Linked DNA regions of Caenorhabditis elegans. The protein of the gene in region 2 interacts with the protein of the main gene of each other region in a biochemical or structural test. Each region holds a gene or a part of one and is shown on either strand. Other genes may lie near its edges. The genes, in order: gly-11, stn-2, sru-39 and C38H2.2.

The links.
Region 1: the proteins of stn-2 (region 2) and gly-11 form a complex in vitro, tested with the Caenorhabditis elegans proteins (one study listed by BioGRID).
Region 3: the proteins of stn-2 (region 2) and sru-39 form a complex in vitro, tested with the Caenorhabditis elegans proteins (one study listed by BioGRID).
Region 4: the proteins of stn-2 (region 2) and C38H2.2 form a complex in vitro, tested with the Caenorhabditis elegans proteins (one study listed by BioGRID).

Annotation. Positions count from the first base shown.
Region 1 is NC_003281.10:12,171,209-12,179,084, forward strand, and holds gly-11 (Putative polypeptide N-acetylgalactosaminyltransferase 11), read right to left. Parts: upstream 6,038-7,876; 5' UTR 6,036-6,037; coding exon 5,802-6,035; intron 5,551-5,801; coding exon 5,032-5,550; intron 3,719-5,031; coding exon 3,362-3,718; intron 2,721-3,361; coding exon 2,659-2,720; intron 2,586-2,658; coding exon 2,171-2,585; intron 1,122-2,170; coding exon 1,014-1,121; intron 414-1,013; coding exon 291-413; 3' UTR 146-290; downstream 1-145. UniProt on the Caenorhabditis elegans protein: May catalyze the initial reaction in O-linked oligosaccharide biosynthesis, the transfer of an N-acetyl-D-galactosamine residue to a serine or threonine residue on the protein receptor.
Region 2 is NC_003284.9:7,675,969-7,682,601, reverse strand, and holds stn-2 (PDZ domain-containing protein), read left to right. Parts: upstream 1-1,982; 5' UTR 1,983-2,077; coding exon 2,078-2,113; intron 2,114-2,257; coding exon 2,258-2,330; intron 2,331-2,766; coding exon 2,767-2,900; intron 2,901-2,945; coding exon 2,946-3,009; intron 3,010-3,061; coding exon 3,062-3,127; intron 3,128-3,648; coding exon 3,649-3,745; intron 3,746-4,174; coding exon 4,175-4,238; intron 4,239-4,292; coding exon 4,293-4,441; intron 4,442-4,527; coding exon 4,528-4,696; intron 4,697-5,119; coding exon 5,120-5,245; intron 5,246-5,298; coding exon 5,299-5,364; intron 5,365-5,409; coding exon 5,410-5,574; intron 5,575-5,619; coding exon 5,620-5,712; intron 5,713-5,760; coding exon 5,761-5,880; intron 5,881-5,924; coding exon 5,925-6,050; 3' UTR 6,051-6,091; downstream 6,092-6,633. Other genes in the region: mfsd-8.5 (Major facilitator superfamily (MFS) profile domain-containing protein), read right to left, coding at 6,473-6,565, 6,612-6,633.
Region 3 is NC_003283.11:9,801,851-9,805,139, forward strand, and holds sru-39 (Serpentine Receptor, class T), read left to right. Parts: upstream 1-1,625; coding exon 1,626-2,066; intron 2,067-2,112; coding exon 2,113-2,271; intron 2,272-2,318; coding exon 2,319-2,422; intron 2,423-2,468; coding exon 2,469-2,757; downstream 2,758-3,289. Other genes in the region: F46B6.10 (uncharacterized protein), read right to left, coding at 62-178.
Region 4 is NC_003281.10:10,380,210-10,385,873, reverse strand, and holds C38H2.2 (Glycoprotein-N-acetylgalactosamine 3-beta-galactosyltransferase 1), read right to left. Parts: upstream 4,102-5,664; 5' UTR 4,089-4,101; coding exon 3,996-4,088; intron 3,879-3,995; coding exon 3,783-3,878; intron 3,537-3,782; coding exon 3,325-3,536; intron 2,982-3,324; coding exon 2,667-2,981; intron 2,618-2,666; coding exon 2,480-2,617; intron 1,852-2,479; coding exon 1,739-1,851; intron 1,573-1,738; coding exon 1,492-1,572; intron 1,235-1,491; coding exon 1,113-1,234; 3' UTR 541-1,112; downstream 1-540. Other genes in the region: C38H2.3 (Wsv136), read left to right, coding at 91-247. UniProt on the Caenorhabditis elegans protein: Glycosyltransferase that generates the core 1 O-glycan Gal-beta1-3GalNAc-alpha1-Ser/Thr (T antigen), which is a precursor for many extended O-glycans in glycoproteins.

The DNA.
Region 1 (7,876 bases), on a different chromosome or scaffold from region 2:
ATTTTTCGTCATTTTCAATTTTTTTTTTTCTGTTGTATTTTTCTCCCCTCTTGCTCATTCATCTCCTTTTTAATCGATTTTTCCCAATTTTTTTTTCGGTAACCGTCTTCTTGTCTGTAATTATAGAATGAATTTTTCACAAAAACGCAAAAAAATTTATTAAAATTATCACAAGATTTGGGAAGGGAAAGGCAATTTTGGACCAGTTTTAGAGTTTCAGGGAGAGAAAAGTACCCATAGAAAAAAAATTTTGAGAAAATTTTTTTTTTTCAAAAATAAAATATCAATACTTATAGCTCAACGAATTGGAAGCTATTCGCAAGAGAGCAGAATTTTAAAGTGCTCAGCGCACTGACGTCATTGGATCCAGTTGCACATTTATTCACTGATCTACTGTAGAGCTTTCCGGCGTTCTGGAAAAAAATTAAATTTAATTTTTTTCCAATTTTTGAGTTAATATTGCTGTTTTATGATGCCTTATCAATATGGGAACAGTTTAAAATTTTAAAAAATTTTTAATGAATTTTTTTAAAATTTTCTGATTTTTTTCACTATTAGTTATTTGATAACGCTAAAAAAATATGCAAAAATTTTTTTTCAAGATTCAGAAAAGTTTAAATTTTGGTTAAAAAAATTATATCAAAAACATTTTTTTCAAAGAAAATTATTTGCATATTACAGGAACACAAAATTCCGAGAATGCGTACTGCACAACATATTTGACGCGCATAATATCTCGTAGCGAAAAGAAAACTACAGTAACCCTTTGAATGACTACTGTAGTGTCGATTTACGGGATCTCGATTTTTTAAATGAATTAACATTATTTATTTATCGATAGAATATCAAAATTGATAAAAACGAACTTTATTTCAAAAATCGACACAAGCGCTACAGTAGTCATTAAGTTTTCGCTACGAGATATTTCATATTTTGCGGCGCGTCAAATATGTTGTGCAGTACGCATTCTCAGAAAAAAAAATTGTGTTACCGTAATATGTAGTTTGACTTACCGAAACTTGCCACATTTGATGTGCTCCTTGATTATGACACAAAATGACACTAATCCCTCGTAAGGAATCTAGGCACATTCGGGATGAGCCCATCGGTCGTAGCTCATTCTGAAAATAATTTTTAAAATCAGGAGGTATTCAAAATAGGGAGGATTTTGATTCAAACAATCCAAAATAGTTTTAATTTTCTAAAAAACCACAAATTAAAAACGTCAAAAATTTTGGATAAACTGTACAAAAAATTAACAGTTTTTGCACATTTTTTGCACATTTTTTGCACATTGTATGCACATTTTCTGTACATTTTTTGCACATTTTTTGCACATTTTTTGCACATTTTTTCACATTTTTTGCACATTTTTTTGCACATTTTTTGCACATTTTTTGCACATTTTTTGCACATTTTTTGCACATTTTTTGCACATTGTATGCACATTTTCTGTACATTTTTTGCACATTTTTTGCACATTTTTTCAAATTTTTTGCACATTTTTTGCACATTTTCTGTACATTTTTTGCACATTTTTTGCACATTTTTTGCACATTTTTTGCACATTTTTTGCACATTTTTTGCACATTTTCTGTACATTTTTTGCACATTTTTTGCACATTTTTTGCACATTTTTTGCACATTTTTTGCACATTTTTTGCACATTTTTTGCACATTTTTTGCACATTTTCTGTACATTTTTTGCACATTTTCTGTACATTTTTTGCACATTTTTTGCACATTTTTTGCACATTTTTTGCACATTTTTTCAAATTTTTTGCACATTTTTTGCACATTTTCTGTACATTTTTTGCACATTTTTTGCACATTTTTTGCACATTTTTTGCACATTTTTTGCACATTTTTTGCACATTTTTTGCACATTTTCTGTACATTTTTTGCACATTTTTTGCACATTTTTTGCACATTTTTTGCACATTTTTTGCACATTTTTTCACATTTTTTGCACATTTTTTGCACATTTTTTGCACATTGTATGCACATTTTCTGTACATTTTTTGCACATTTTTTGCACATTTTTTGCACATTGTATGCACATTTTCTGTACATTTTTTGCACATTTTTTGCACATTTTTTGCACATTTTTTCACATTTTTTGCACATTGTATGCACATTTTCTGTACATTTTTTGCACACAAAATCGAACCGTCGATGAGTATTTCCATTGTTGCATTCTCTCCATATGATTACATTTTCTCATTTCCACCCGATTCCCATTTGCAATCCTTCCCTGCGAGTTTTCAGCGCTCAAACAATGTGTTCCATTTGCCATTTTAATCAAATATTTCTTTCCAGCGACAAGTATTTGGTTATTCAGCTGATTTGGTGTGTTATCCGGTAATAGTTCAGGATAGATATTTTCCAAATACCATTTGAACGGTTTACACTGCAAATTCCTACGTAGACTGATTCTCGATGTAAGATCACCGTAGTCGGTGAATGTACGGTAGTTTGGACGAGCTTCGAAGAAATTTTCAAGATATTCATCAAGCCATACTCTTGCCAGCCGGACTGAATTTTTTCCCATTGAATCCGTTTTTATTCCGTATGGGCGTTGGCGGCTGGAATTTAGTTTTTTTTTTTCAAAATCAAAAACCTTTCAAATTCAAGCCAGCAAATTGAAAACAAACTTACCGGAAAATGTGGCCAACTCGGCTGCACGGCATAATCAGAAGTTCTCCACCGCAGGTCCATATCTGAAATTTAGTATATGTATTCCGGCAAAGTAGGCAATTTGCCACAAATGAGAGGTTCCGGCAAATTGACAAATTGCCGAAATTGAGAATTTCCGACCGATTAGGCAAATCGGCAAATTGCAGGAATTGAACATTACCGGCCAATTCGGCAAACCGTAAATTTGCCAAAGATGAAAAGTTCCGGCAAATTGGTAAATTGCCGGAATTGAACATATCCGGCAAATTCGGCAAACCGGCAATTTGCCAAAAATGAAAAGTTCCGGCAAATTGGCAAATTGCCGAAATTGAACATTTCCGACAAGCTCGGCAAACCGACAATTTGCCAAAAATTAAAAGTTCCGGCAAATTGGCAAGTTGCCGGAATTGAATATTTCTGCCAAATTCGGCAAACCGGCAATTTACAAAAAATAAAAATTTTCGGCAAATCGGCAATTTACCGAAAATAAAATGTTCCGGCAAATTCGATAAACCGGCAATTTTTGACTAGAATTTTTTTTTGAAAATTAAGTGCCAACCTGTTTGGCGTAAATATTTTGAACGAAATCCTTGTAAAAAATTGGTTTTTTAATTTTACAAAATTTTAGAGGCCTGTAGGGCAATTTTATACTTTAAACTATTCGGGTTAGCCCTTTGAAACCTACCCTAACACTAATTTCCACATTTTCAGCTCCCCAAACATCCATTCCCTCATCATAACTTCCAATTTCAAAGAAATATTCTTTATCAATCGCAAAAAGACCACCAGCCATTGTAGGCGATTTCAACGGGTTCACATAATTCATCGGATCCTCAAAGTAGGATCGATGGGGGTAATCCCATTTGAATGTCATTGCCCAATTGACACCGCCTGTGCAAACAGGAGATTCCACGTATTTCATAGTGATTGCATCGATTATATCAATGATTGGGCATACGACACGACGGCGATTCTGTTTGATTTGATCGAGAAGTGGTGGAAGCCATTCTTCGTTTACTTCACAGTGACTATCCAGGAATACCTGAAAAAATATATTTTTTAATGTTTAGAGAAAATAAAAATTATACGTGGAAAACAATTTAATTGGTAAAAACTATACCTACTTTAATTTTTACTCAATAGGGTTTTTGCACTACTCACGAGGTGCTAGGCTGTCGTTTGATCTCTAAAAAATGCGCGAATTTTTCGCCCAAAAATACGTGACGTCAGCTCGTTTTAATCATACGAAATCAGTTGAGAACTCTGCCGCATTTTTTGTAGATCTATGTAGATCTAGCCGAAATGAGACACTCTCTGACACTACGTGACTACTGATAATGCACGTGGTTAGGCCTGTTGAATGGGTCGGGGTCGCGGCCCCGAACCATTTTCGGAAAATGTCTGAAATTGAAAAAACATGTTTTTTTGTTGTAAATCGTGTTTTTAAACGTTGACTCTTATGCTTGTTTGTATCGAAAGTAGGGTATGTTTTTTTTTATTGATGAAAATACGATAATTTTATAATTTTCAGCTTTTACACGTGTTTTTTGACAAAAAATAATTTTTCAAGTTTTTGATAATTTTCTGTTAAATTTTGAAAAATGGGTCGGGGACATGACCCCGACCCAAAAGTGGGTCGGGGCCGCGACCCCGACCCAAAAGTCTCGTTGATCTACAAAAAAGGCGGGAGAAGAGATGCAGAGTTCTCAACCTAATTTCGTATGGTTGAAAACTTGCTGACGTCACATTTTTTACGCAAAAAACTCCCGCAGTTTTTGTAGATCAAATCGTAATGGGACAGCCTGGAACCACGTGGAAACCACGTGGGTAATTCATGTGATTTCAAAAACTACAAAAATTTTGTTTTTTTCACAATTTTTTTCAACTTTTATATTTTTTTTGGTCTTTTTTTGGTCGTTTTCATGAGATTTTTTACCCAACTTCGGAATGCCACATTTGTTCTCATCTTTGTGGGGTTTTCCTTTTTTCTGGAAATTCCCCCCCCCCCCCCCCCAGAGCATTGTCTAAGCCTAAGCCTAAGCCTAAGCCGAAACCTAAGCCTAATTTTCAAGACACCACACGCTTTAAAACATCTATGCTCCTTTGAAAAGCGTTGTTTTTTACTAGGGCTCCATGTAGGCGTTAAAATGCCTACCTGTCTGACTTTAAGGCGACCTCCGCCTTCCTCAGTACACGCTTCATGCTAATACGTACGTGAACTATTTTTTAATCTTAAATTTGAATTTTGAAAACTCAATTTGAATAGTAGAAAAAAGTTTCAGGCAGGCTTCAGGCATGCCTTGAAACCGCGCCTGCCTATCGCCCTACTCTTCACATTAGAGAATAGTAACTTACCAAAACTTCTCCATTAGCCCTTCTTGCTCCAAAAATCTTTGCTCTAATCAATCCCTCATTCTTGTCAGTCTTCAAAAACTTTACTTTTTCCCATTGAATAATATGTTTTTCTCTGTACTTGATAGCTTCATCAGTTGCATTCGACCATTCACTTGAATCATCCACAAGTAGAATTTCATGGAGATGTTCTGGTTTTGTACGATCGAAAATTGAATTCACCATTCGGATTAGCACGGAAGGTGATTCATTGAAATAACAAACAACTATGGAGGCAGCTGGTAAGCTGTCGGAATATGTTAGAGAAGAGCATCTGGCATTTCTAGAGTCCTTGATCTTCCTTCTTGATCCAATTCGATCACTTAGTAATCCGTTAAACTGATACTTTTTATAACCTTCAACTTGTAGATCATCTTCGGCTTTTCCATTTATTTTCCCCAGCAAATCTGTGTCAATCTCAATTTCTTTTGAACGATCCGGGAATGTTGTGAATGATTTTGGAAGTGGTGGAGCGGCGATGTTCTGGAATAATTTGAACATTGAAAATTCAAAAGTAGGTATTACAATGCCTGCCTGCCTCTCGCCTCAATACGGGCCAAAAGCTGTTAATCTGATTTTCAACAAATTGAAAGAAATGAGAAATGAGAACTTTTGAAATTTGAAAGTTATTCACATCAAAATGCAGGCATGCGACGGGCAGATTTCAGGCAGGCGCCAGGCCTTGAATCTACTTATGATGGAAGCCCTTTATACCCTTAAAAGCATTCAGATACCTGTTTCTCGACCGCATCCTCTTCATCCTTTTCCGCGCCCTCATCATCATCAAAATCGTGTCGTCCCTGTCCTCCATTATTTAGTTTTTCATGTTTTCTCTGAATATCTGCGTTTCCACTATTCCATACTCTCTCGTTATCTTCTGGATACATTGAGACGTAGAGATATATAGTGAGAAGAATTGAAAAAAGGCATATTAATCCGACTGTTTTTCGCCTCCAAAGTAGGAGCATTCCTAAAATATTTAAAAATTGGAAATTTGTAATTAATTTTGAAATAAAAAAAATCAAAGAATCACGGGGCTCTGGCCTTCCTCATTGAATTTTTTGCGCTCCATTGACAATCGTCTACCTGACAACGCGTGGAAAATTCGTGTACTCCACACGGACAAATACATTTAGTTTTACAATCGAGCCGCGACGCGACACGCAACGCGCCGTAAATCTACCCCAGATATGGCCGAGCCAAAATGGCCTAATTCGGCAAACTCTCCCATTTCAATTTATGAGGGAAGCCAGAAATTCGTGTATATTTGTTCAAGAAAAAATATGGAAAAAAACCACGAAAATTCCGAAAATTTTGAAATTACAGTATTCTTTAAAGGTGCACACCTTTTTGCATTTAGAAAAAAATTGTTGTGTCGGGACCTGGGTTTGGGGCAAAATCCCTCAATTTTGTGTCTGGGAAATATTTTTTTTTTTTGAAATCTCGCCGATTTCTGGCTTCCCTCAAAAATTGAAATGGAAGAGTTTGCCGAACTAGGCCAGGTCATATCTGGGGTAGATTTACGGCGCGTTGCGTGTCGCGTCGCGGCTCGATTGTAAAACTAAATGCACTTGTCCGTGTGGAGTACACGACTTTCCCACGCGTTGTCCGGCGGGTGATTATCAATGGAGCGCGAAAAATTCAATGGAAGGGAAATCCAGAACCCCGTGCAATTTCACAAAAATTATCTTGCCGAGACCTGGGTTTTAGGGCAAACTTGCAGAATTTTACGCCAGAGTAATATTTTTTTTTCAAATTTTTTTTTTCCGAAATTGCTTTTTTTTTTGCAAACTTAAGTTTTGGCCTAAAATTTTCAAATTTACCCTAAACTGTTTCCCAAAAAAAATCTCTAAAACAAAAGTGAAAAGGAAAACTTTTAGGACATATTCGAGAAGTGGGGGGTAGGTATGTGGGAAGCAGCGGGACGGAATAGTGCGGAAAGAAGGACGATTGATGACACAGCTGAACACAGGAACATTAGAGATCAAACAAATTGAGAAGACGCAGACATACCGACAGATCTCTCGATGTACAATCCGATGGACACAAGAGGAGGAACCCCCCAAGTGGACACAGAAAGAGCGATGGGGGGATGAGGATTTTGTTTACTTTATTAACCGATTGAGGTTTTACTCCGAAAAAAAGTGAAAGCGCAAAGTGGTATTTGAACTGGCGGAGAGAGGAGAGACGCAGAGTGGCAGAGTACTCTAGATGTCTATGATCTCTCAATCTTTGAACTTGAATTTCTGTGCATCTAATGCGCGATATGTGGATAATGCATTATGATCCAAAAGGACCGAATATCATAATAAAAAACTTTGAAACATATAGATTTTTCATAATTTCCGGTCAAAGTTTTGGCAAACTACCAAAATTTTGAAGAATATGAGATTTTGAGGAAATTCAAAGAAATTTTGCAATGTTTTAATACGAATAATTGAAACAAAAGTAGAGTATAAAAATGTAGGTAATTTTTTTGGTCGACTTCCAAAAAAAATTATAGTGACAAAATCTGAGTGATTGTAACTTTTTGAGAGTAAATAATAAATTTTTTTTAGCGTTTTGGCACCACTTCACCTTTAGGCAAAACAAGCCTTTTTTGTAAATAAAAATGTAAATATTTTTCAAAAATTTGAAACTAGTAAATTTATCCAGTAAACTGACAATTGACTCATATAAGTGAAAGACGACTTTTTTAAATAAAAATATTTCAAAGAAAAATTTTGAAAAATGAACCAGTTGAAGCATTTCGTCGTTGATCGCAATATTTTGTGATTCGATTACCGCACAAAGGCTTCGTTTTTACGAC
Region 2 (6,633 bases):
GCGAGAGAAGAGCAATTTCGGACTTGTCACTGACGAGTAAAGCAAAAATCAATAACGTGTAAGCAAACGAGGGAGAGAGTGTCTGAATCTGGTGCTCAGCATGACACAGAGAGAGGAAAAGAGAGAAGAATTGGCAACACGAAGAGGAAGAGCATGCCAAATAAGAATGTTTAACATTTTGCATTGATTTTTTCTATTTTTAAGAAAGTTATTATAAATAAAACGAATATTTAGAAAACTTATTAGTTTTCTTTGAGTAAATTTAATTAGTTTTTTTTCTTCAAAGACCACATAACCAATTTTTCTGAAAAAGTTATGTTTAGATTTTCCAATGATAAAATACCTTGTTGACAAAATTTAAAAATAACAATTGATATCATCAACAAGGAACAGTCGATACATAGACACATTAGGGATTAGGACCGTAGACACCACGGGGACTGTACTGCGTACTATGCGCTGGAAATGACGCGCAATGGAGTGCAATAGAGACCAGCATATAACTATTTCAATGAAAATGGGAGATTACTTATTTAATAATCGGTATTTAGGTTTTATAATCTCACATTTTAAAAAATAAACTAATTTTTCCATCAAATTTTCCATATTAATAATACGTGATACACGTGTTCCTCTTCAAGTTTAAGTGGTTTTCCAAGAATAAAAATGCAAAAGGATTTCGAACATTTCCATTTCTGATAAATTAAAAAGGTGTTATGATTCACAACAAGGTTTAATAAATAACAAAATACGTGCGTACTTTGAAAACAGTTATATATATCTAATTTTTAAAATTAAAGTTCATGTATTTTGTCGTTTAATTTTTGACACTATATGAGCGGGTTTAAACAGTTTTCCTACTGAAGGTACTCCGTTTTTAATTTATATAACAAGAAGAGCTACAAAACACTTTGTGGTTTGTTTCAAGCAGAGAAAATGTGATCACACATATGTACTCAAAGAAAAAATCACAATTTTAGTCTCTCTTGATGACTCAGTTGACTAAAGGCAAAAAAGTCAGCCTCGTTTGCACAACAACGATTGTGAAATATATTCCGTTGCCTTTCTTTTTTGCCAGTTGCGGAACATTTTCATATGTGTTTGCGCCGCCGAAAATCGTCCATCATTCGAAATATGGAAAGCGAAACGATGTGTCTTTGTATCTTCAAAACGGCATTTCTCAATTGAAGCTCAATGGCTCATTGACATTCGAAGTGAAGACACAGTGTAGGGTCACGGCGCTAAAATGCGTGTTTTCCCATTGTTTTAATGGGGAAAAAGGACAATAAGAGTAGAAAACGGCAATTCGTCAAAATGATTGATTATATTCATCAATTAGTTTGCAGGAAACAACATGCAGAAATGTGGAAAAGATTTCAGTGAAAGTTTCAATTAGTTTGGAAAATCACTAACTGTTGAATATGAATAAACAAATGGAGAAAAAACAGGGATGTTAAAATTTTTATCAAAAGTCACTCCTCAAAAAGGTATTCCGTTGCGGGGAATCGAACCCCGGCCTTATGGGTGAGAGCCATAAATCCTAACCACTAGACCACAACGGAGATGGGTGAGCAATGGTCGCTGCTTAATGATAAGAGTACAGAAAACTTTGTGACTGTGAACAATGTGTAGAAAATTTTATCAGTCAGAAAGCAGCACGCGAAGAAATTGAGAAAAATGATGGTTGCCTTTCCGGCAATCTCTTTGGCAACAGTTCCAGAATTTCAGCTCTTATTTTATATCTTTTAATCAGTTTTCAGACTATGATCAAAACTTTGTTGGATGTTAAAAATATTGGATGACTCGTTTCTGATATTAAAAATTCAAACCAGCTGTTTATCATCTTGTTTCTCACTTCCTTCAACTGCTCGTTTTTGCTGTTCGTCTATGATTCCGCATCTTTTGCTGTTGTAATGTGTGTATTACACCGCTTCCGATGAGCAGATAGGATAGATTGGAGCTCGGGCGCTTCAAAGTTGACTCGTGTGAGGTGGCACACACACACGCATCTTTAGTCCCTCTAGTTCATTGTCCTTCATTTTTGCTACATTTTATATTCTCTGTTAAACAAGGCTAAATGTCCGTTACGAAATCACACCATAATCTGGATGTGGTAAGTTTAGCAAATATTATGAAATTGTTGGTTTTTAATGGGCATGTTTAATTTTTGTATAGTACATGCCAGCAATCTGAAGTCTTATGAAATACAAGACTTGACAATATGTTAAATGAAACAAATTCCAACAAAAAATTTCAGGTTCATCATGGAATAGTACTCATTAGTGATGGGAATGCCACTTCTAGATCGTCACGACTGCTTTTATCCAAAGGTAAGAGGAAATTAAAATGGAACTTGAAATAGAAATAAAATGGAACCATCAATTTTTGAATGTATGCATTTTTTCCACACTTCTCACATGGGGCCTATAAAAGCCGCACAATTTGCGAAAGCGAGAAGGGCCTGAAAAACGAGGAGAAATGGGGGAGAAAAACGAAAATAAAAGAAAAGTGTGCAATGACGGCCTCAACTAGTCGTGTGAAAACTTTATTAGGCAGCTCATGGCGCGGAAATTGGTGCCTAGCCTACAATTGAGTTGTTGAGAAAAGAGGAAAAAGCTGTCAGGGTCCCGCATCTTCGTTTTTGTCTTGCGCTTCCTTTGCGCTTTTAAAACTCCAAAAAAAATTTGGTAGAAATGACATGAAAATGGCATGAAAACTATATAAAAAGTCATCCAAAAAAAGAAATATCGTAACATATTCTTGCAGATGAGTTATGTATTCAAGTCATTGACGATGGTACCGCGGAGCCCGAAGAAGCCAAAGAAACATTTCTAGAAAATGCAACTCGGCAAGTTGTCATAGTTAAAAAACCAGACTCGGGGTTCGGATTGTCTATTAAAGTGAGCAATTGAACAGGACCGGTGTAATACTTAGAACTATTGCAGGGAGGATCAGAAAATGCACAAAACATGCCAATAGTAATCTCCAAAATATTCAAAGGATTGCCAGGTAAATCGTCAGATTTAAAATTTTAACATCTAGAAAAATACTTAAATTACAGCCGACGAATGTGGAGAGCTATTTATTGGAGATGCTATCGTAGAAGTAAATGGAATATCCATAGAAGGTGAGGGAAGAAAAAGAACGAGTAGTCTTCATTAGTCCAATCATTTGGTTCCCCTCTGGGAAATAGGAACTGAAAACGAATGAGCGTTCATAGCAAAGACCAAAAAGTTAAACTAGTTTTTTTTTAAATAATAGAAATAAAATGGAACCATCAATTTTTGAATGTATGCATTTTTTCCACACTTCTCACATGGGGCCTATAAAAGCCGCAACAAAATAACTTTTGGCAATTCACGTTCAAAAATTTAACATAAAAATTTAAAAAAAAAAAACAAAGTTGTATTGAATAATAAAACAAGTCATATGCTGTACTTTCCCTATTATACTTGCTCCTTCTCTGTTGGATGGGTTATATATGCCGTCCTAAGTTTCATAACAAATCAATTTTTTTTCAGTTGCCAATTAAAAAAAAACCAAAAAGAACTAACTAAGATATAAGCTGTCAAAATCAAGCAAGGGCATGATGGTACAAGTCTAATAGGGAAAAAAAACGGTAGACTATTTTTTCATATCAACTTCCAGGTCAAAGCCACGACGAAGTGGTTAACATGTTAAAATCAAGCGGTGACCAAGTAACTTTGGGTGTCCGCCATTTCACCCATATGACGCCGTTTCTAAAGTGAGTTTGGTTTTGTGGCGAAAAAAATTTGCTACTCAAGTCAGTCCCATGCATCGCCTTTCTTCCTATTTCCCGCTTCCTTTTTCGATTTTCGACGTGGCGTTACTTTGGCGAGAGGACACACAAAAAAAGTATGGTTGAAAAGAGTGGAAGAAAGAAGCATGAAAAAGAAGGAAAAGGACGAAGAAACATGAGTAGAAACAACTGATGGATTAGAGTGTAGAAGAGCTCTGCGCAGGGGGTGGTTTGAGGCAAAGCACGCGGAGCCTTACGCCATCCTCCCTGATGAATGCTTTTCACTGCATTTGAAATTCAAAAATGTGCGCAGTAGGCAAACTGCCGAGGGACACACAATGTTTTGCGCAGAGTATATAGTTGCATTTGATTTTATATCGGGGTACCAGAGACGTTGGAGTGACTACTTTTCAGACCAGCACAGTCATTGCAACCCGATGGAACATTGGATCAGCTGTTTGATGGAAGAAGTACAAGGGTAAGAAAAAATCCTAAGCTTCCATTTTGAAATTATTTGGAGTTTTTGCTTCAGAGCCACAAAGCGCAATCCGAATCCCGACTCTCCGACTCGAAATGGCAACAACATATTGACGGACGGGAAAAGAAATGGAAAACGTTGACGTCTCTTCCGTTGGCAATGGCTTATGTCACCAGATACCTCTGGGGAACCGACAATATCAGGTTTGCTTCAGATTTTATTTTCGTAATGAATACATACAACGGGGAGCTTTTTGTATTTCTTGTTCAACAAAACTAAAATTTTACAGGACAAACTCTTTCGAAGTTCGTGCAGTAGATGGAAGATCGTCGGGAATTGTGCATTGCGAAGATACATCGGCGCTGGAACAATGGATCTCGCACATCAGCAAACATATATTGTCGCTCAACCAAAAGAGTATAAAAATGAGCAACAAGTACTTGCATCAGAGTGAGCAGGTCAGTATGCAATGATATGACTTCAATGTTTGGTAGGCACGTTTGGTTGCCTTGAAACATCTGTTAAAAATACGACATCGGAATTAAAAATTAAATGTTTTCAGCACACATCAGATTAATGATCCAACATTACTGACTATGAAGCCGTTTTAGGTGTCCAGAGAATTATGGGTCGAATGATGTATTTTCTAAAAGCTAATACAATGGAAATTACGAATTCAGAATAAAACTTTGCTTAATCTAATTTTGAGGCAATTATTTTTGCTTTTGTCTGCTCGATTTAGGATACTTGATGGAAACATTGTTGTTTTTAAAGCCGACTATCTTGTTGAAAATTGAATATTCAAGAAAATAGTCAACTAGTAAATCTACTAACATTATGCACGGTTTTTGCAGTAAATAGTTTAAATTAATGTTTTTTAGATCAGCTACATTGGTTGGGTGAATGAATACTTGAATGATGATGATCAAGAAGAGCTTAAAATCCGCTGGCAACCTCGCTTCTTGATTTTAAAAGGCAGTGATGTCTGCTTCTTTGATGTTCCGCCGGTATGTTTTTTTTTTAATTTTTGAACTTATTTTACATGATTCTTTTTTTCCAGCTAAACTCTGAAGATCTCAACAAATGTGTCTACTTGTACAAATGTTATGATGTTGCTGTAAAACAGGTAGATTATCAAAAAAAGTAGTAATTCTAGAAGGGATATCTACAGGTCCCAAACTCTAGTCCACGAAGAGATAAGCGTGACAATTGTTTCTTAATAGAAACTCCATTGCAAGTTCCAAATCACTACCTGTCATTTGAAGCTGTATCTGCATTTGAACTTTTTGAGCAAGCATATTACCGAACCGTATACAATACCATTTCCCAAATGCAGGCAAGTTTATTTAAATTATTCAACAACAATAACAGTTAACTTTAGTCCCGAACGTTTGCCTGTAACTTTGAAGGAAGAGCCAGTGGAATCGTTTTTGACATTAAACAGGGAATTAGTCTATATGATATTCCTACTAAGGTAATACTATTTCTAACTGTTATTGATATTGATACAATTTATTTCTAGAGTTACATTTGGCAATATCGGTTCAGAGATTTACAAGCCGTTGCTGATGATGGCAAACTGTGTGTCCAGTTATCGTTCAATGATGATCGTTCATTGAATTCCGATAGAATAGAAGTAAAGGTTAGTGGTTTTGCAACTTTCCGAGTCAAGTACTCAAATTGCAGGACATCGAATGCGAAGATGTGGTAACAGTTGTATTCAACCTTCATTCCTTTGTTCTTGCCAGAATTGTTTCCACTGATCCAGACTATTTGAAGGCTAATCGTTATGTTGGAAATGCAGAGGACTAATGATTTTTGATTTTCAAAGCATAAATATTTTTTTGTTGTTGTTCAACTGTTGTTTAAAACAAAATTTGAATCATGAGTTAAAGCTAGGTTTTCAACATTTTTTTATTTCAAACTAAAAATAAAAACAATCTGCATGCCGTAGTCTACCTGTAACTTATGGACCAGTTTTGAGTCATATGCAAAAAATCAAAATTTCATTGAAAACATATGACTTTTTTCAGGTTTCTGGCACAATCAAATTGTCAATTTCAAAAATCCTTTATTTCAATAATCATAAATTCTAATTCTCAAAGAATTATATCGATAACAAGATAAAGACACGCGATGAGTCAAAATCAACCGGTTTCTGTTTGCCGTAATATTGCACTTACAACAGTACTCGAAAACTCAAACAAAGGTGAAATAACAAAGTAAAGAGTTGCCTAATTCAAAGGCTCAATCTTCTTCGTCTCATATTTCTCGAATGGAACCATTCTCACACGCAATATAATCCACGCACTAATAAGGACTACCAGCTGAAATCGTTTGGGTTTCTATTGAATTAACTGCAGCAATACTCACGTTCACAATTAGTATCAACCAT
Region 3 (3,289 bases), on a different chromosome or scaffold from region 2:
GTATTATCAATTATTCAATTGCGAAGTTCAAGTTCTAAACTATGAAACAATATTGAATTACCCGTGGAGTGACTTCCTCTAAAGTAGCCTTCTTGTCCTTCTTCAATTTTGCACAAAAAACGAGAAAGCTATTACATGATATTGCAAAAAGCATCGAAATAACAATTATAATGATCATTATGTTGACAGTTGAATTGTATGCTTGACCAGATGAAGAAAGTAGAAATAATTTTTCTAGTATAAATTGACCTTATCATTTTTAAACGTTGTTCTAATTAGCGGTAAACAAACTTTAGAAAAACGCGATTCAAAGTTAAAAAAAAATAGAGACCAGATGTCTACGCGAATTATTTTTTCAATCATTAAAAGAATAATTTTTTTCGTAAAATATTTACATTCCAGAAGTTCTGAGAAATTCAATTTTTGATCATTAGAATAATTAATTCGTACCACTCTTCATCAAGTTGTGAATGAAACAATATCGAAAAAGTGAAAATGCTGAATTCAAGCGGAAAGAAACCAAACTTGGGTCAGACTAAGAAGACCAAGAAGGCCACAAAAGTTCAACTGATCATTCTTTTCGTTTTGCTCAAGCATTGAAAGATGTCAGAAATATGATAGTTTATTTTGTATAATTTTTTCATGCGATTTTTCCCCATTTCTTTTGCGTCTGAAATTTTCTACTCAACTGGCATTTCCTTCAAACTAAAAATCATTTGATTCGCAGATTAGAGCAACGCACCCAAAAACTTATTTTTTGCAGACTTGTTTGTCTCTGCAGGAAAAAACATTATTTGTTGGGGCGTCGCATTAGTTTACCAATATATTTGTACCCAAATGTTTTTTAAACAAGAATAGTACTTTAGTTTAAACATGAAAATCCAGAAAAAAACTAGTTATTTGAAGGAAAAACCATTGAAATCACTTACCAAAAACCTGCGAAAGAGCGTTTTGAGCTATGTTGAAAAAATCTGAAACTTTGTTCGCCGAATTCTATTTAAAAATTTAGGTTTTTTCGAAATATAAAAATTCTAGAAAACACCTCAAACTGTTGCTAATCTTTTAGAATATCTTGCAATCGAAAATCGACAATAATTGATTCTGATGAAAAACTTTTTTTTCCGATGTTCCAAAAAAGCAAACTCTTCTGCAGTTAATTTTTGCGGTCACCAATTATTAAGGTTTTCTTTCAAATATCGAAGGCTCCAACTGGCTGTCGAATATTCAGCTGAAATACTTGCTTTGCTAGTCCATAATTTCATTTACCAGGAACAATCATTCGTCACTTGAATAAAAACGCGTAAACACTTTTAATTCTTATAAGTGAATTCAATTTCACTCATTTTCTGCTATTATCCACATTCCAGAAACAGGAGACCAGACAAGACTTCTTATTTTACACTTTTTCACATCTTTCGCATGTACTACGAATTTCCCGAAATACATGACCTTAGCACCTAAATAATCCGGTATATATGTAAGTATAAAAGATGCAAGTTTAAAAATTGATCTTTTGCCAATACACGTACTGCTCAATGAAATTTTATGAATAGCTGGCAATTAAAGCGCCTACTTTCAGTAGACATACGTCAACCACACTTTTCATTCTTCGAATAACTTCCAACATGTCTGTTTATGGACATATACCAATTGATAATAAGACTGAATATTCCAATTTTACATATTCATTCAATGTTTGGACTGTTTTCGCAGCAGTCACTTGTACATATACACTGTTTTCGTTTTGGATTACACTAAAAATGTGCATTTTTTATTTGAACAATAAAAATAACGAAGAAGTGAAAAGAGGACTTCGTCTTGATGTTTTTCGATTGTTTCTTTTGATGCAAGTATGGAAAGAATTTCATGTTTTGATGGATTTTCTGATAGTTCGAATTCCACTTACATCATTATTTACCAGTTATTGCTATCAATCGAAGCCAGTTCTACTTTTAAAAATATTATCATTGATGTTCACAGGAGTTGTATATACATCTCATTCATTAACTCTTGCGTTTTGCATTCAGAGAGTTGCATTATTATATGCTCATGAATATCACAAAGATGTATGTCAACTCATGAACCTCTAGTGTTAATTCATTTCATTTTCAGAAAATTGCAAAAATATTTGATATTGTCAACCCTCTCATTATATTTGTTGGGCATGGTTTTGGAATACCGTTCTTTTTTGCATCAAGCTCTTGTTATCAAATGGACGAACCATTTCCATTTGGAGCAATTGTAATCACAGCTCTACGCCGGGATATGGTGGTTCATAGAAAATCCAAAAGTTAATCGTAATGCAAGTATTTTTTCAGAAAACTTACACTATTATTTACTCAATTTTTTCTAATACAAATATAACACTGACGATTATATTGACAATCATGATGTTTGTAAAGCTGTATCATAAACGGAAGATGTAAGTTAAAATTCCTTATAATAAATTTTACACAAAACTTTTCCAGAACTTCCGAGTTGCGCCGACCAGTAGATTTAAAATCAGAAAAAGTATTAACAGCTACAATGATTCTAATTCTTCTCCCTGTTGTGGTTCCATCAATTCTGTCAATTGCAAATCTTTTTTCTTCAAATTTATATGCTTATATGTTTCTCCTGCGTTGCATTGCATTGGATGTCCGAGCTCATATTGTTTCTTGTTATTTCTATTATACGCATTACATTTTTAAAAAGAAAAACCGTAGTACTAAAATTCGAAACGACAGCACTATTCGAACAGTGTCAACATATTTTTAATGTGTAATAAATTATTTTGAATTTGTCTTTTTTCGGATGAAAAAATATTTTTTTTGGGTTCAAAAATTTCAAAGCACAAGTTTTTAATGTGATAATAATTTTCTGGATACTAGTTTTTATAGTGCATTCATATCACAAAAAGTGAAGTGAAAAAGTTAAAAACGTTGTCCAATTTTTTTCTTTAAGTTTTCGGGGAAACGTTTCAAAACTTTACTTCATGGAACGCATTGCTTGCTAAGCAATTTACCGCAATTCGTGTAATATATATTGTTCAATGAACACCATTAAAGGAAAATAAATTTTCATGAAAACTCGCAGGATAGTCAGAAAGTCTTGCCTTTTGGCTGCAAAAGGTAGAGTGAGCATTCAGGATCTCCTGGAATACATGGTTTTTCATCTAACAAATTTTTGAAAATTCAAAGAAACAATTATAACCAAACGTGACTATTTGAAAATCAAAGTTAAGTAAAATCAAAGTCGAGAGTCACTAGACTGCTTGCTTTGAACATTTATTCATTATCAATTTTAAAGC
Region 4 (5,664 bases), on a different chromosome or scaffold from region 2:
TTCTGGTTGTTTAATCCCAGTTCATTTCAAAAGACCTAGTATAGTACAAACTTTCGATTTTTTTTGAAAAATAAAATTTCCAATTTTCAGCCCTCCAAAAGACGACGCGTCACCAATTACAGTACTCCCGACAGCGGTCCGTTCAATGCCAGAAACCCATCGTCGTTCTTTGATGGTTGCAATTATAGCAGCCCTCTTAGTTTTCACGGCTGTCGTTTTTATGCTCCTTCTTGTCACATTCGCCTAATATGGTGTAAACGCGCTCTATCGCTAACGTTAACCTGTGTAGTCTGTTTGAAAGATAATTGAAAATAATATTATTAATGTTTTGTTAATTGGCAATTTTTTGATACCCGCTGAGACCACAACTTTTTTCTAGCAATAGAGTGCATTTGTAAGCTTTACCTTACTTTTATCTCCAGTCACATAATTTTCTCTCGTCTGAAACCCCCCTCCACATACGGTGTAAATATTCGTTTTGCTCAATCAAAATCTGTAGTTTCACTCTTTTTTCTTGCACATGTGCACAATGTTTGTTAATAATAAAGCCAATTTATTTTTATAAATTTTCTTCAAAAGAAAAAATTCCACACACAGAGAGAAATGAACAAGATTGACTAGAAAAAACAAACAAAACATTGGAAAAGGCACAGGGTGTGATCGGCCGATCGTCTTTCAAATTGAATTAAAAAAACCACATTTACATGTAAAACTCTGATGATTCCCGTAAGCAGAAATTTTAAACTAAAATATCCAAAAAACAATTCACTAAACACTTTGGGAGTCGAACCTTGGTAGACAGGACGGCTTTCAAATATATTGATCAATTGATAAACATCGAAAATTATTTCCAATACATCAGATTTGACGCGCAATGTCTACCGTAATTCAAATGACTTGAGAAAGAGGAAAGAAATGCAGAAGAGGCGGCAATTAGGGTGGAGAACAGTCATGGAATGTATTGACGTAGAGAGAGAAGGAAAGAGAGAAGCCCAAGCGAAGCAGTTGGAACAAAAACAAATAAAAAATGGAAGAAAATCACCCGGGTATTGGACAAAAAAGTCGGTAAATGATATCTAACAACATAGACTGCAAGAAAAACAACAATTTGCTTATACAGCAACTTCCGGCCGATCCCGGAACGCATCGTCTTGTCCACGTTCGGATCGAGAGATCGAATAAGCCGTATGGATTATTGTTTCGTTCTTTGGCACTCGAATCGCGCGATCGATACCTGAATAATTGAAAAATTGTATAGGCTAAAATGTGGAATTGTAGCTCTTTCCGAATTTTGTAAAATTTTATTAAAAATTCGAGTCAAAATATTTTTCAATCAAAAAAAAAAAGATTCTTACTAAAAAATAATTATTTTCCTGTGTTCTAAAATTTTTTTATAACTATTTTTCTGTGTTCTAAAATGTTTCAATTTTCCCTGCGTGGCCGTGGCCGAGTTTTGCATTTCTCGGCCACTGAGTCCCCAATTTCACTCACCGAAAGGCTTCAAGTGATAGATGAGATACTCGAGCACATACATCAAGTTCGGGTTGACGTAGTGGAAGGAGACTGCGTAATCTGGAAACAATAATGGAAGATTATTGAGCAAATAGCATTGCATGCAGAAAACAATTGATCTCTTCAAAAAAGTTTTTTCAATCTTTCGGGAAGGGCATTGTTTGCACGGTGGTTCAGTGTAGGAAGATCAGCACCAAAGAAAATCTCGAAAAAAAGTGCAACTAACCAGAGCAACACGTAGGTCCTTGATCCATTGGGTAGTAAGTGTACTGCCAGAACCAGAACTTGGGGTCAACGTGGCCAGGCGACAAGTGATGTTCCGGCACGAAAGGCATGAATCTGAAAATTACTTCGTGTTCGCGGGAAGAGAAAACCCAGTTGCTCAACTCATAAAAGAGCTTTTTAATGAACAAGCTTCATCAAAAAATGTTTTTGGTGTCCTCTCTCTCTCTCCCCCTGCAGATTTATGCTTAAACTTTTAAGTTTAAAAAATTTTATGAAATTAGTCGAAAAAAACTTCAAATTAAATTTCATTTTGTAGTAATTTTGACTACGTTTTCCTGTTAGATTTCACCCAAATTCAGAAAAAAAGTCAGAAAACACGCTCTGCTGATAGACGATTCCAAAAACAATTTGTACTTTTCCACGTGGAGTACACATTTTTAATGTTATCAAACAGCTGGCAGCTGATCAAATTTTCACTAGTTATCGTTTTACAGTTTTGTAATTTGAAATTTATGATTATCCTTAAAGAAAACTGAGATTGGAGCTGCCAAAAAGAACAGTGCAAACATGGTGCATCGACTGGAAACGCCAAAAATTTTAATTGGCAAATGTCAAGTGAAAAATGCAAACGAGAAACACATAGTGCATCGTCCAGTAATACCTCAGTCAATTTTGTTATAAACCATCAAAGTAGATCACTTTTGCACATAAAATTCCAAATTTTCCAGATATCACAACTAACCTATGATGTCCATCGGCATCTCTGGAATCTCCAGCTTTCACTCCAACCTTCTCCAAGCATTTGCCCATCTCCGCATCCTCGGCTCCACCATGATTCTGAGAGCACAACGATTTGTCCGGCAGCGCTACTTCAATGAATCTGAAATTACCAATACTCGTTAGACAACAATCAAATGAAGAAATCCTACTTTTTCAGTGCCTCCCGACTGAGCACATATCCAGCTCCACCACTATGATATCCTCCCTGTGTGAATGGCTTAAACTTGCATCCAAAGTGAATTGGCTCATCCGGTGAATGAGCCAATAGCATGAACCGGAGATTTTCCATCACCACATAGGTATCGTCGTCGGCTTTCAGGAACCAGTCGTAGTCGTTCAGGTGATGGTCATAAATGTATTTGAATGCTCCTTTTGTTTTTGCCCACAAGTAATCTCTGCCTTCAGAGACATTTAGGTTGATGGCTGGGAGTTCTGCATCCTCTTCTGATGACATGAATACGTACCTGAAAACAAATCAATATTTTCCTAAAAAAAATATATATAACTTTTATATTAACAGAATCAATAATTTCCAATAAAAAATTCCATTTAAAACCAATGTTTTCTGCCAAAATTGCCATTTTCACTTAAAAACCAATCATTTTTGTTCACATTCAATATTTTTTGAACCATAGTTCATTAAATTGTAAATAAATAAATGAATAAATATATATATATATATATATATATGTATATATATATATATATATTTTATATATATATATATATATACTTTAGGTGGACAATTTGTATTTTCTAAAACAGTTTTCGCGGTGAACAACCGATCATTTTTTTGAAAAAACCTACTTATTACACCGCTTGGCCCAGGTGGCTTTGACGTGTTTCGCGCGTTTATCGTGATTCTGTTTTCCGGTGAGAATCCAACAGAAGACGCGAACCTTCTTCGCAACTTCGTCGGCTATCAGACTTTCACCATCATGGCTATGCGATGAGTTGTTGGAATGGAATTGGACGGGCGCAAAGTTCGCGTGATGATCGTCGACTTCTTCGTCTCCGTGCTGAAAGTTGGGATTTGTGTTTTGGTGTTGGTTGTCGGTAGTTCACAATTAACTTTCTGATATATTTTTTATAGTCTAATTCCGAGCTGAATTTTTTATTTTATTATCGGCCACAGTCCCAGACTCGAACGTGACTTAAACTAAAGCTCTCTGAGAGCACCACCAGGAAGTGCACCTGACTCCCAGATTCGCAGTGCGTAGCACTTGTAGAATGGACTACTCCAAGTTATATTTTAAAATCCTTACCGGATCATTTCCATGTGCATGATCGTGCTCGTCAACTTGTGGATCCCCTCGGTTGGCTCGTAGTATGGCTATCCGTGAGGCAGCGTCGTAGGTTGTCTGAAAATTTGATTTCCTCAGAAAATTGTAGAACGCTAGCACGTCTCGCTCGAAAATTTTTCAAAAATAGTATTTTTTAAAGTAAGACAAAACCCATAAAAAAAACAAAGCACCTACCGTTCCCGTCTGAGATATTATTGAAATGGTCAAACCGAGAAGAACGCCAAGCGCCACGTAGGCGAGAGGAGAAACACGTGGCCAGTTTGCCATATCAACAGCACATCTGTAGTAATGAATTTATTTCAAAAATTATTATGAAGGTTTAGAAAAATGAGCAGATTCACGTCAGATACAGGAAAAATAATTAAAGGGGAGGGGGGGGGGGGGGTAGGGGTTACTACGGGAAAAATTCACTAAAATAAGCATATTTTTTGGTGCTTTTTTAAAGTTCAGTTCAAAAATTATCTCAAAATCCAGCTTTTCAAAAAAAAAAATTAAAACTATATTCTCGACTCTTCAAAAATTTTAATGAGCGTTGCCTTTAAAAATACAATTTTTATGCTATAAAAAGCCCTAATAAAGGGAAAAAATATTCAATAGTTTTCAAAATATTTCAAAAATGTTTCGCTGAAAATTTTGAACTGTGAACAAATATTCTTCTCATTTTAATCACGATTTTATAGAATTTCTATAATTTTCAAATTGTGCAAATAATTTGATAAGTAGCTTTTTTTTCTACGTTAACTTTGAACCTTATATATTAATTTTTCAAAGATATAAAAATAAGTTCAACTACAAAACTATTGAAAAAAACATAAAATGAAGATTTTATCAGTTTACAGGTGTTCGAGAAAAAAATCCAAAAACCATCGAGACAAAGATACGTGAAGCAATCTCAGTCGATGCACCATGTTTTGCCCCCTTATTTTGTAAGCTTACATCTTGGTTTGTTTTTGAATAAATTAATATATTTTAAACTTCTAAAATATAGGCAATAATTCGAACAATATGCTGTCACTTAAGATTATTTTTTGATAAGAAGATCATAGAAAACCAAAATAGAAAAGCAAAAAACAAAATCAAAACTTTTTCAGAGTCACGTAGATTGCAGTACTGTATCGTACCGACAATATTTGAATAAGTGGGAACACAAGCATGAAAAGAGGTTTTGTACCGAAAATATGGAAATTCGAAGAGAGATAGAGAGAGAGTGAAAAAGGGAAAACGAGAGCCTTGTGGCAATGAGAAGAATTCAAATATGCGAGATAGTGTGTGGAATGAGAGAGATCACAGACATTTGGAGGAGGAGAAGCGTAGTGTGTTGGAGTAGGAATAGAAGAAGGAAGAAGAAAATGAGGAGGAGAACAGGCAATGAAAAATTAGTATTGTGAAAATGCTTGGGAGTTGGCAAAAGATTTAAAATATTTGTGCTCAAGATGTTTTTTCCTTTTTTTTTCTGCAAAAAAAAATTTCCTGAAATTTAGTATAAGAATTAAAAAAAAAGTATACTGAAACCTTGGTCTTCAAAATTTTGAGAATTAAAACTAGAATAACAACTACCTTTGGTTTTTCTATAATTAAAATTGGAAGCTTCAAATCGAACATGTTCCTAAATGCTGAAAATTTTGTGGTAAGTAAAAATTAAACTTATGATTTTTCGTGAAATTGCAGGTTTTGGTAACCCCCATTACTGAAAGAAACAAGTTAAATGGATATTTTCAAATTAATAAATAATCTTTTGGAAATCAGTAAATATTTTGAAAAATGCCAAAATTTGGTAAAAATTTAAAACTAGCCAAAAAATTCGCTTTTTAATTTTGTCACAAGTTTACCTGCTAGATCATTA